Callithrix jacchus: one gene and its partner. The protein of the gene in region 1 interacts with the protein of each later gene in a biochemical or structural test. Links are inferred from orthologs where the notes say so. Each region holds a gene or a part of one and is shown on either strand. Other genes may lie near its edges.

Region 1 (3,307 bases):
AAACGCCTAAATGGCTGTTCTAGTTTCCCTTTACTTCATAAATGATAATAGTCATGGCTTCTATTGACTGAGGGTATACCTTATGCTGGGCATTGGGTTACACTCTTTTCATACACTGCCACATTGGACTCTCACAACAAAGCCCCCTATTTTACAGAGGCCACAGCTGAGGCTCAGAGAGCTTAACGGCAGGAAGATGGCCCACATCCTATGCAGAAAGGAGCTGGCTGGGAAATTGTCCTCTTGACAAATGACTGTTAGACATTTGACTGTTGACAAATGACTGTTAGACTGTTAGTTATTAGAGAAACAGAAATATATACCCTTTCTCCCTGGTCTGCCTTAGCCATGGACAGCATTCAAGGACTGGCTATACCGGTGATTACTTGGGACTCTGATATCTACTTGTTTCTGGAGAGTTGTTTCCTATAATTTATACCAGACTATGATGGACATATACAAAATGAATGCAGAAGCTTAATTTTTAATCAAATCGCTCTGGATTCACTTCCAGGAAGGAGTGGTACAGAACTGGTGTTACTGAGAGCACGCAAAGCCTCAAGTTTTTACACAGCAAATACAACTGATTCACGACTGGGGCTAATGAAGCACACAGAAAACATCTGATAAAATACACATTTATTAGAAATTTTTCAGCAGCATAATTTCCAGTTGTTTGTCTATTCAAAGTACACTTCAAAGTAATTACAATCAGCACTCAAAATATGAGCAAGAAATATTTTGAGAAAGCTGGAATAAAATAATCAGTAGTATATGTTTCATTCATCCATCCATCCATCCATTCATTCATTGTTTAACAAATGTGCAATATTAGCACAGAGAGCCAGGAATGCTATTTGCTATGGGAAAGTGTGTATTCCTGCCATGGTTCCTGTTGTGGAGACTACACCTGCCCACTATTTAAGAGAAGAGCTGGAAGCCGGGCACAGTGGCTCATGCCCATAATTCCAGCTACTAAAGAGGCTGAGGTGGGAGGATCACTCGAGCCCAGGACATCAAGATCAGCCTGAGCAACATAGCAAGACCCCAGCTCTTTAAAAAAGCAATAAAAATTAAAGAGAAGATCTGGACTGTACAGTACATTCGAATATAAATGTACACATTTAGCCAAAGGGCCTAGGAAAAGCTTAATAAGAATGGTTTCCCTTTCTATTCAGGTTCAACTTAGGAAATAAATAGTGATTACAATGATATTTTCATAGAAACAGAAACCCAGTTGAGGCTTTGCTTAACTGGGGTTTTTTTTTTTTTTTTTTTGCACCTTATTTTATGAAGACACAGATTTGGTTTCAGAAATTTAGCTACTGAGCTCCAGCTACTATGGTAGGTGACCACCTCGGATGTCAGGTGAGGGCAGAGATTGCTTCAGGGTCCATCAAGCAGAAGAGCTCATTTAATTAACTACAAACTCAATGCAGGACAGTGGCACTTAATGATATGGGATTTCCTCATAGACATCACAAATAAAAATGTTGCCTTGGCAGTAAGTGAGAGAACACACATGAAACAGAGGGTTCTGGTTAGACAATGCCAACATGCAGAAGGGCCAAACTGAATTGCTTTTTCTACCTTCTGTATTATCTGAGGAGTCTACAGTCAAGTTCAGATGTCTATATAACACACAGTGGCCCTTATCAATATACCCATTAATCAAACTGACGTGTAATATTGAACATTAAGCGCTAATGTGTAAAAATGGACCCAGGAATGGAGTCTGCACTCCTTTCCTAGATAATTTTATAGGAGATATGAGCGGTGCCTCTTCTTCAGACACGGCTAAAGGTCCCAAGTCAATTCCTTTTCTCGTTGGATCATTGACTATCATGACCACTACCCGAGTCAGCAGACATTTTTATTAGCAAATTCAGTAACAGGATAATCTTTCCAAAATTTACAAATATACAGTATATTTATAGTATTACCTTCAGACAACTTCAGTGCAAAGATATACATATAATACATTGTGATAATTATTTGTAAAAATATGAGATGGCATAAGTAAAAAAAGACACACACAATACTTCCAACTATCGGCAAACAGGAAAAAATATATTTTTCATAAAGTACTGAATGTTGACTTTTTTCATCTCTTTGTAAAAAATATCTGTGCAAAAGTGTGTTTCTAACTATTCCTTAAATAGCTGGTATAGCTATACTTCAGAGTCTTCTTTAACAAGATTTGCGGTGTCTTTAAAAGTGTCTTCTGTTGCAGAATAGGTTGGCATTGGCTCTCTTTTTGAAGGAGGCTTAGGCTTAGCAGGGGGCGAAGGTGATGGAGGTGTGGTCGCAGCAACACTTTCCTTCTGTTCGTTCTCCATCTAAGAACACAGCATAGCAGGGATCAGCCATTTATTCCCGCAAAGAAACCATACATGATTTTTCATAAAGAAGACAGTTTGTGGCCGCTCTGCTCAGAATAATCTAAGTGTGTGTCCAATTTAACCAAGCAAATAATTTCTAAGAAAGAATGTCTGTGCTAAGAAAAATTGTTAAAAATTACCTGGGCATAGATTGGATTTTCAAAGTTGGTAGTTTGTTTAGCTTTTCGTCTGAAGAGATTCCATTTTGTCACCTAAATGAAAAGGGGAAAACAAAACTCTCTCAGTAATGGAATTATTTTGTGAGTTTCTCTTCTTCCTGTCTCAATTTTAAAATCTCTTCTTACTGAAGGATAAAGCAATTTGGGACTTAGGACCACGTGATTGAGCCCATGTGGTAAATTTTCAGTTTCTCCTATGGTCCCTGAACAGTAACTGAAACTCCCCAGGCTCTTTTCATCAAATGGTTTTAGATACTTCTTTAATTTCAAATTTATAATTTACAGAATCTGTGCCATAATGTCTACAAGCAGATCACTGGCTACTTCACTACAGAGAGAACACATAAAACAGACACATACAAGGTGCATCTGGAGAAAAAAAGATTTCTGGGGCTGCCTGAAAATTGGGCAGAGATAAACTATAACTCTTATTCTCTACAAGTACGTTCTTTGTATCCCTTCCCCCTTCATCATTCCCTCCTGTATCATAATAATAACAAAAACATCTAACATTTGTTGAGTGCTTACTGTGTGTCAGGAATTATTCTAAGAGTTTTACCAGTTTCTGATGTTTTCTTAACTCCTGGAGGTAGGTACACTTATTGTCCTACAGTTGCTGAGTCACAGCAAGATTATACAACGAAATTGCAGGTAGACGGGCAGGTAATGATTACTCAGGGGACCCAGAGGCCCACAAACTGGAGAACCCAAAGAGAATCACCCTGGACCAGGGTGTGTGGCCCATGC
Region 2 (4,525 bases), on another chromosome or scaffold:
CTCAGATCAGCAGCATCCATATCACCTGCAGACTGGCTGGAAAAGCAGATTCAGACTCAGAACTAACATTATAACCAGCCTGCAGTGATTCATAAGTACTTTAAAAAGTGGTCAATCATTTCATCAAAGCAGAGCCACACAGTCCGGGGGACCACAGGTGGCCTCTGTGTGCCTGCCTTGGTTTCCCTGCCCCTCTTTAGACATGTTGGTTAGACACTGCCAATGCCAAGCCTCAGCCCTCAGACTAATTTTGAAGCAGTCGGGATTTACTATCATTACATAAGACCCTAGTGTTTACAGAATGTGTTCCCCTCTCTGAGGTCTGGATTAGATCCATTTTACAGGCGAAGAAACTGAGGTTCAGATATTTAAGTGACTTGGAAGCAAGCAAAGAACACTGGGCTGTGGGGGTTGGGAGGGCTGGGCTCTTATCCTGGGGTTACCACAAGCATGCTGTGGGCTATGGGGAGCCCTGTGCCATCTATGGGCTTCAGCCTCCCCACTAAGGTAGATGGGTTGGGTGAGAGAACGACTCCCTTCCCAGCTCTGAGCTGGATGGCTCACCAGGGACCCCAGGCTGTCTGGAGCAGACTCTGTGCCCGCTGCTGAGTCTGGAACTTTCCTGCATCTTGCCTTTGGCTACCCTGTTCTTCAGGGCCCAACACCCTGTCTTCTGGTCAGAACCTAGGTCTGAATGGTTTTTTCCAGAAGTTGTTGCTTTCAGGGGCGCCTGGCAGAGGGGTGTTTCTGGCTGCTTTTGTGTCTCTGGCATGACAAAGGCTCCTGCTGGAGGCATTTCAGGGCTCAGTGGGCAGCTGGGGCACAGCCCATGAGACCAGAGCCTTCCTGGTGATCCTGGTCTCTGCCACCCACCCTGTCTCTGGGGAAGGCGCTGACCCATATCTTCTCCCACGCTGCCCCCTGGCTCTGCGCGCCTGATTACTTCTCATGAAAGGTGCTCCTTATTAATGTCCTACCGAGTGTCCAGATGGGCCTGTTGGGCTGTGCTGGCTTTGGATGTGAACCATTTCAGGAAGGGGAACCCCACCTTCCTGTTGGTTCTGTTATGGGAAATGAGTGAGCTCAGATAAGCAGTTTCTGGGAGGGGCGATGATGGAGAGGGTACAGGGGGAGGGGTTTCTGTTTTATGCAACAGCCTCAGCTTCTGGGAAAGGGTCCATTGTGTAAGACCAGGGTTGTGGCCTGTGCCCCTTGGCTCAGGGTAGCCAGCCCAGTGGTGGCAGGAACACTGGCAGGGCAGCCTGCTGTAGGCTTAGAGGGATGGGCCGTGTGGAGGGCCTGGCAGAGCAAAGGGACTCATCCTTCCAAAAGGACTTTCTCTGGGAAGCCTACTCCTTGGGCCACTGTGAACCCTCTGTACTCTTAGAAGGGAATTGTCCTTCCTGGCTTCCACTACTTCTACCCCTGAATGCACAGGCAGCCCAGCCCAAAGCTCCCACTAGGGATGCAGATGGATTCGGTGTGAGGGCAGCTGCTGCTGCCTCCGGCTCTTGAAAATCAAGTTTGTGGGCCGGGTGCGGTGGCTCATGCCTGTAATCCCAGCACTTTCGGAGGCCAAGGTGGGCGGATCACGAGGTCAGGAGATGGAGACCATCCTGGCTAACACAGTGAAACCTGGTCTCTTAAAAAAAAAAGAGAGAGAGACAGAAAAACAAAGAAAATCAAGTTCAGGTAGTGTTGAGACTTCCGGGGGGCTGCGGCGCTGTGGTGGATGGGGGGGGTGTCTGCTGGGGGAAGATATGGAGGCACATCACAGAGGACGGGGCTGGTCTCTGGGATGCAGTCCCTCTGTGGAGGTGGCATGCGGAGGGACGGATACGTGACCCAAGGGAGATATTTTCAGTGTGTGACATGATCGACGCCACTCTGGACAAGGAGGCCGGGATGCAGAAAGCCTGTGTGCCTCAATGATTGCAGGGGAGGATGTGGCTTGGAAAATAGCCCGGCTCCTCTGATGCCAGGGTTCTTGTTTCCTCCACTGGATGCTGCTGTCCTGCGGTCCCTCCCTCCTTGCACTTCCTGCCATCGCTTTCTTTTGAGGTATCCATGGCAAGTCTGGTCCTTTCCCCCTGTTTCCTCAGGGATAAAAGTGCAGCAGTGCTAGCTGGGGGGACAGCGAGGGCGGTGAAACCCTGGGGAGCTGCTGCAGGCGGCAGGTGGGCAGGATGCCAGCAGGCTGTCTAGCTGTTCCCATGACGGTCTCCTGTTTCCTGCAAACAGAGGCGTGCGAGGACTCAGAATCAGAGGCATGATGAAGACTCTGCTGCTGTTTGTGGGGCTGCTGCTGACCTGGGAGAGTGGGCAGGTCCTGGGGGACCAGTCGGTCTCCGACAATGAGCTCCAGGGTGAGTAGACCAAGTATGATGTTCCACAGGGTGGTGAGGTCAGAGCGCAGGGCTGCTGACTCCACTCAGGGCCTCTCTATCACGCCCCGAGTGTTACAGACCATTTGATCTAGTGCACTGGATCTGGGTGTCTGTGTCTGGACCCCCTCCGAGCCTCAGCTCCCAGGCCTCTGTGGGCATCAGGCTGTCGGCATTTGCAGGCAATTCCCAAGCCCGTTCTGGCTGCTGCATTTCATTCAGCTGCTCCCTTCCCAGGCCCCTTGGCCCAGCTCCCAAGCCTCCTCCATGAAGCTGTGTCTGGACCGTTGGAGCTCTTATCCCTCTCCCGTTTGGAGTTTGTCCCTCCTGGGAGCTGACCGCTTCTGCAGGATCATTGTTAAAAACCCCGATCAGGCCAGGCTCAGTGGCTCAAGCCTGTAATCCCAGCACTTTGGGAGGCCGAGGTGGGAGAATCACAAGGTCAAAAGATCAAGACCATGCTGGCCAACATGGTGAAACCCTGTCTCTACTAAAACTACAAAAATTAGCTGGGCATGGTGGCAGACACCTGTAGTCTCAGCTACTCCGGAGGCTGAGGCAGGAGAATTGCTTAAACCCAGGAGGCAGAGGTCTCAGTGAGCCGAGATCTCACCACTGCACTCCAGCCTGGGTGACAGAGCGAGTCTCTGTCTCAAAAACAAAACAAAACAAAACAAAAAAACCCCAAGTCAGACCTGGGTGTGAGTCTGTTCCACTTCTTCTCAGTTGGGTGACTCTGAGTCACTCTCTTGATCTCATGACACGTTCCCCAACCCCTGTTTTATTGAGATAATGAACAAATAAAAATTGTGTATATTTAAGGTATATGACATGATGTCTTGAAATGTACATACATGGAAATGATGACTACTTTTACAGTGGGGCGGTAGGAACGCTTAAAATCTACTCTCAGCGAACTTCCCGGTACAGTATGGTGTTATTAAGTACAAGCACCACCTGTATGATAGACCTCCAGGACCTACTCCTCCTGCCTGACTGACACTTGGACCCTCTATCGTACCACACTTCCCATGTCCCCCTCTGCAAAGTGGGCATGGTAGTGGGGCTGGAGCATTCTGTAAACTGCACATGAAGTGTTTGGTGCAGTGCTCGGCATGGGATAAGCACCAGTGAAGTGGCACTTAGGGGACACAGTGTTTCTCTGCATCTGTCACCAGTGCTATGCCTTAGTCATTTCCTCATCTTATTTCTGTCACCTGGCACTGTGCATTGGAAAAAAGAAATACACATCTGGTTAAACTGAACTCTAGAAAGACTTGTGTCCAAAATAACAATATTTTATATTTTGATACTTCAAAGCTGACCACTTCTGGGTTTTTAAAAAATATTTTTCCTTGACAAGTTTCTTCTGCACCCGGCTCATTCTCCAGGGGCACATGGCAGTGGCTGGGCACAGCTCTGCCGTTTCCCCCGGGGTGTACCGGCTCCCATGGTTTGCAAATCTGAGCAGTGAGAGCAAGGGGCCTGTGATGGGAGCCTGTGTAGGTCAAGGCTGGGACTGTGCTGCTGTCTGCGGGGGGGGGGTGGGGATCCCAGCCTTGACAGCCCCTTAACTGAACGGGCCTCTCTGGCCATTCCTGCTCACTCCAGGGTTATATCCCGAGGCCATCCCTTCCTCTCACCTCATGCTACCTCTTGCGCTTCTCTTGCAGAAATGTCCGATCAGGGAAGTAAATATGTCAATAAGGAAATTCAAAATGCTGTCAACGGAGTGAAAGAGATCAAGACTCTCATAGAAAAAACAAATGAAGAGCGCAAGACACTGCTTAGCAACCTAGAGGAAGCCAAGAAGAAGAAAGAGGTCAGGAGCCGAGAAGGCTGCCCAGCCTTGACCATCCCACCAGAGGGAGGGGAGGAGGGAGGGGGTCACAGCACGGTGCCTTGCTGGGTTGCCATGGTGACCCACAGTCCTCCCAGGCTGTGTCAGCTGATGCCGAAGTTAAGAAGGAGGGAAGGTTTATTGGAGTTTGAAAGCATCAGGGGGTGAGGTCTTGGATCTGGATTTCTTATGAGCCTGGCTCAGGGCCTAATGCCCAGATTCATTTCAATAGATGTTTCTAAACCCTGACCACGTGCTGGCTCCAAGCAGGCTCTGGTTTGGGTGGCAGCAGGGGCCCGGA

The links.
Region 2: the proteins of LRP2 (region 1) and CLU form a complex in vitro, tested with the Homo sapiens proteins (3 studies listed by BioGRID). The link is inferred for Callithrix jacchus from reciprocal best matches to the Homo sapiens genes LRP2 and CLU.

Annotation. Positions count from the first base shown.
Region 1 is NC_133507.1:60,359,058-60,362,364, reverse strand, and holds the end of LRP2 (low-density lipoprotein receptor-related protein 2), read right to left. Parts: intron 2,594-3,307; coding exon 2,522-2,593; intron 2,340-2,521; coding exon 2,172-2,339; 3' UTR 627-2,171; downstream 1-626. UniProt on the Homo sapiens protein: Multiligand endocytic receptor. Acts together with CUBN to mediate endocytosis of high-density lipoproteins. Mediates receptor-mediated uptake of polybasic drugs such as aprotinin, aminoglycosides and polymyxin B.
Region 2 is NC_133514.1:14,088,063-14,092,587, forward strand, and holds the start of CLU (clusterin), read left to right. Parts: upstream 1-1,461; 5' UTR 1,462-1,547; coding exon 1,548-1,692; intron 1,693-1,982; coding exon 1,983-2,061; intron 2,062-2,241; coding exon 2,242-2,366; intron 2,367-4,057; coding exon 4,058-4,206; intron 4,207-4,525.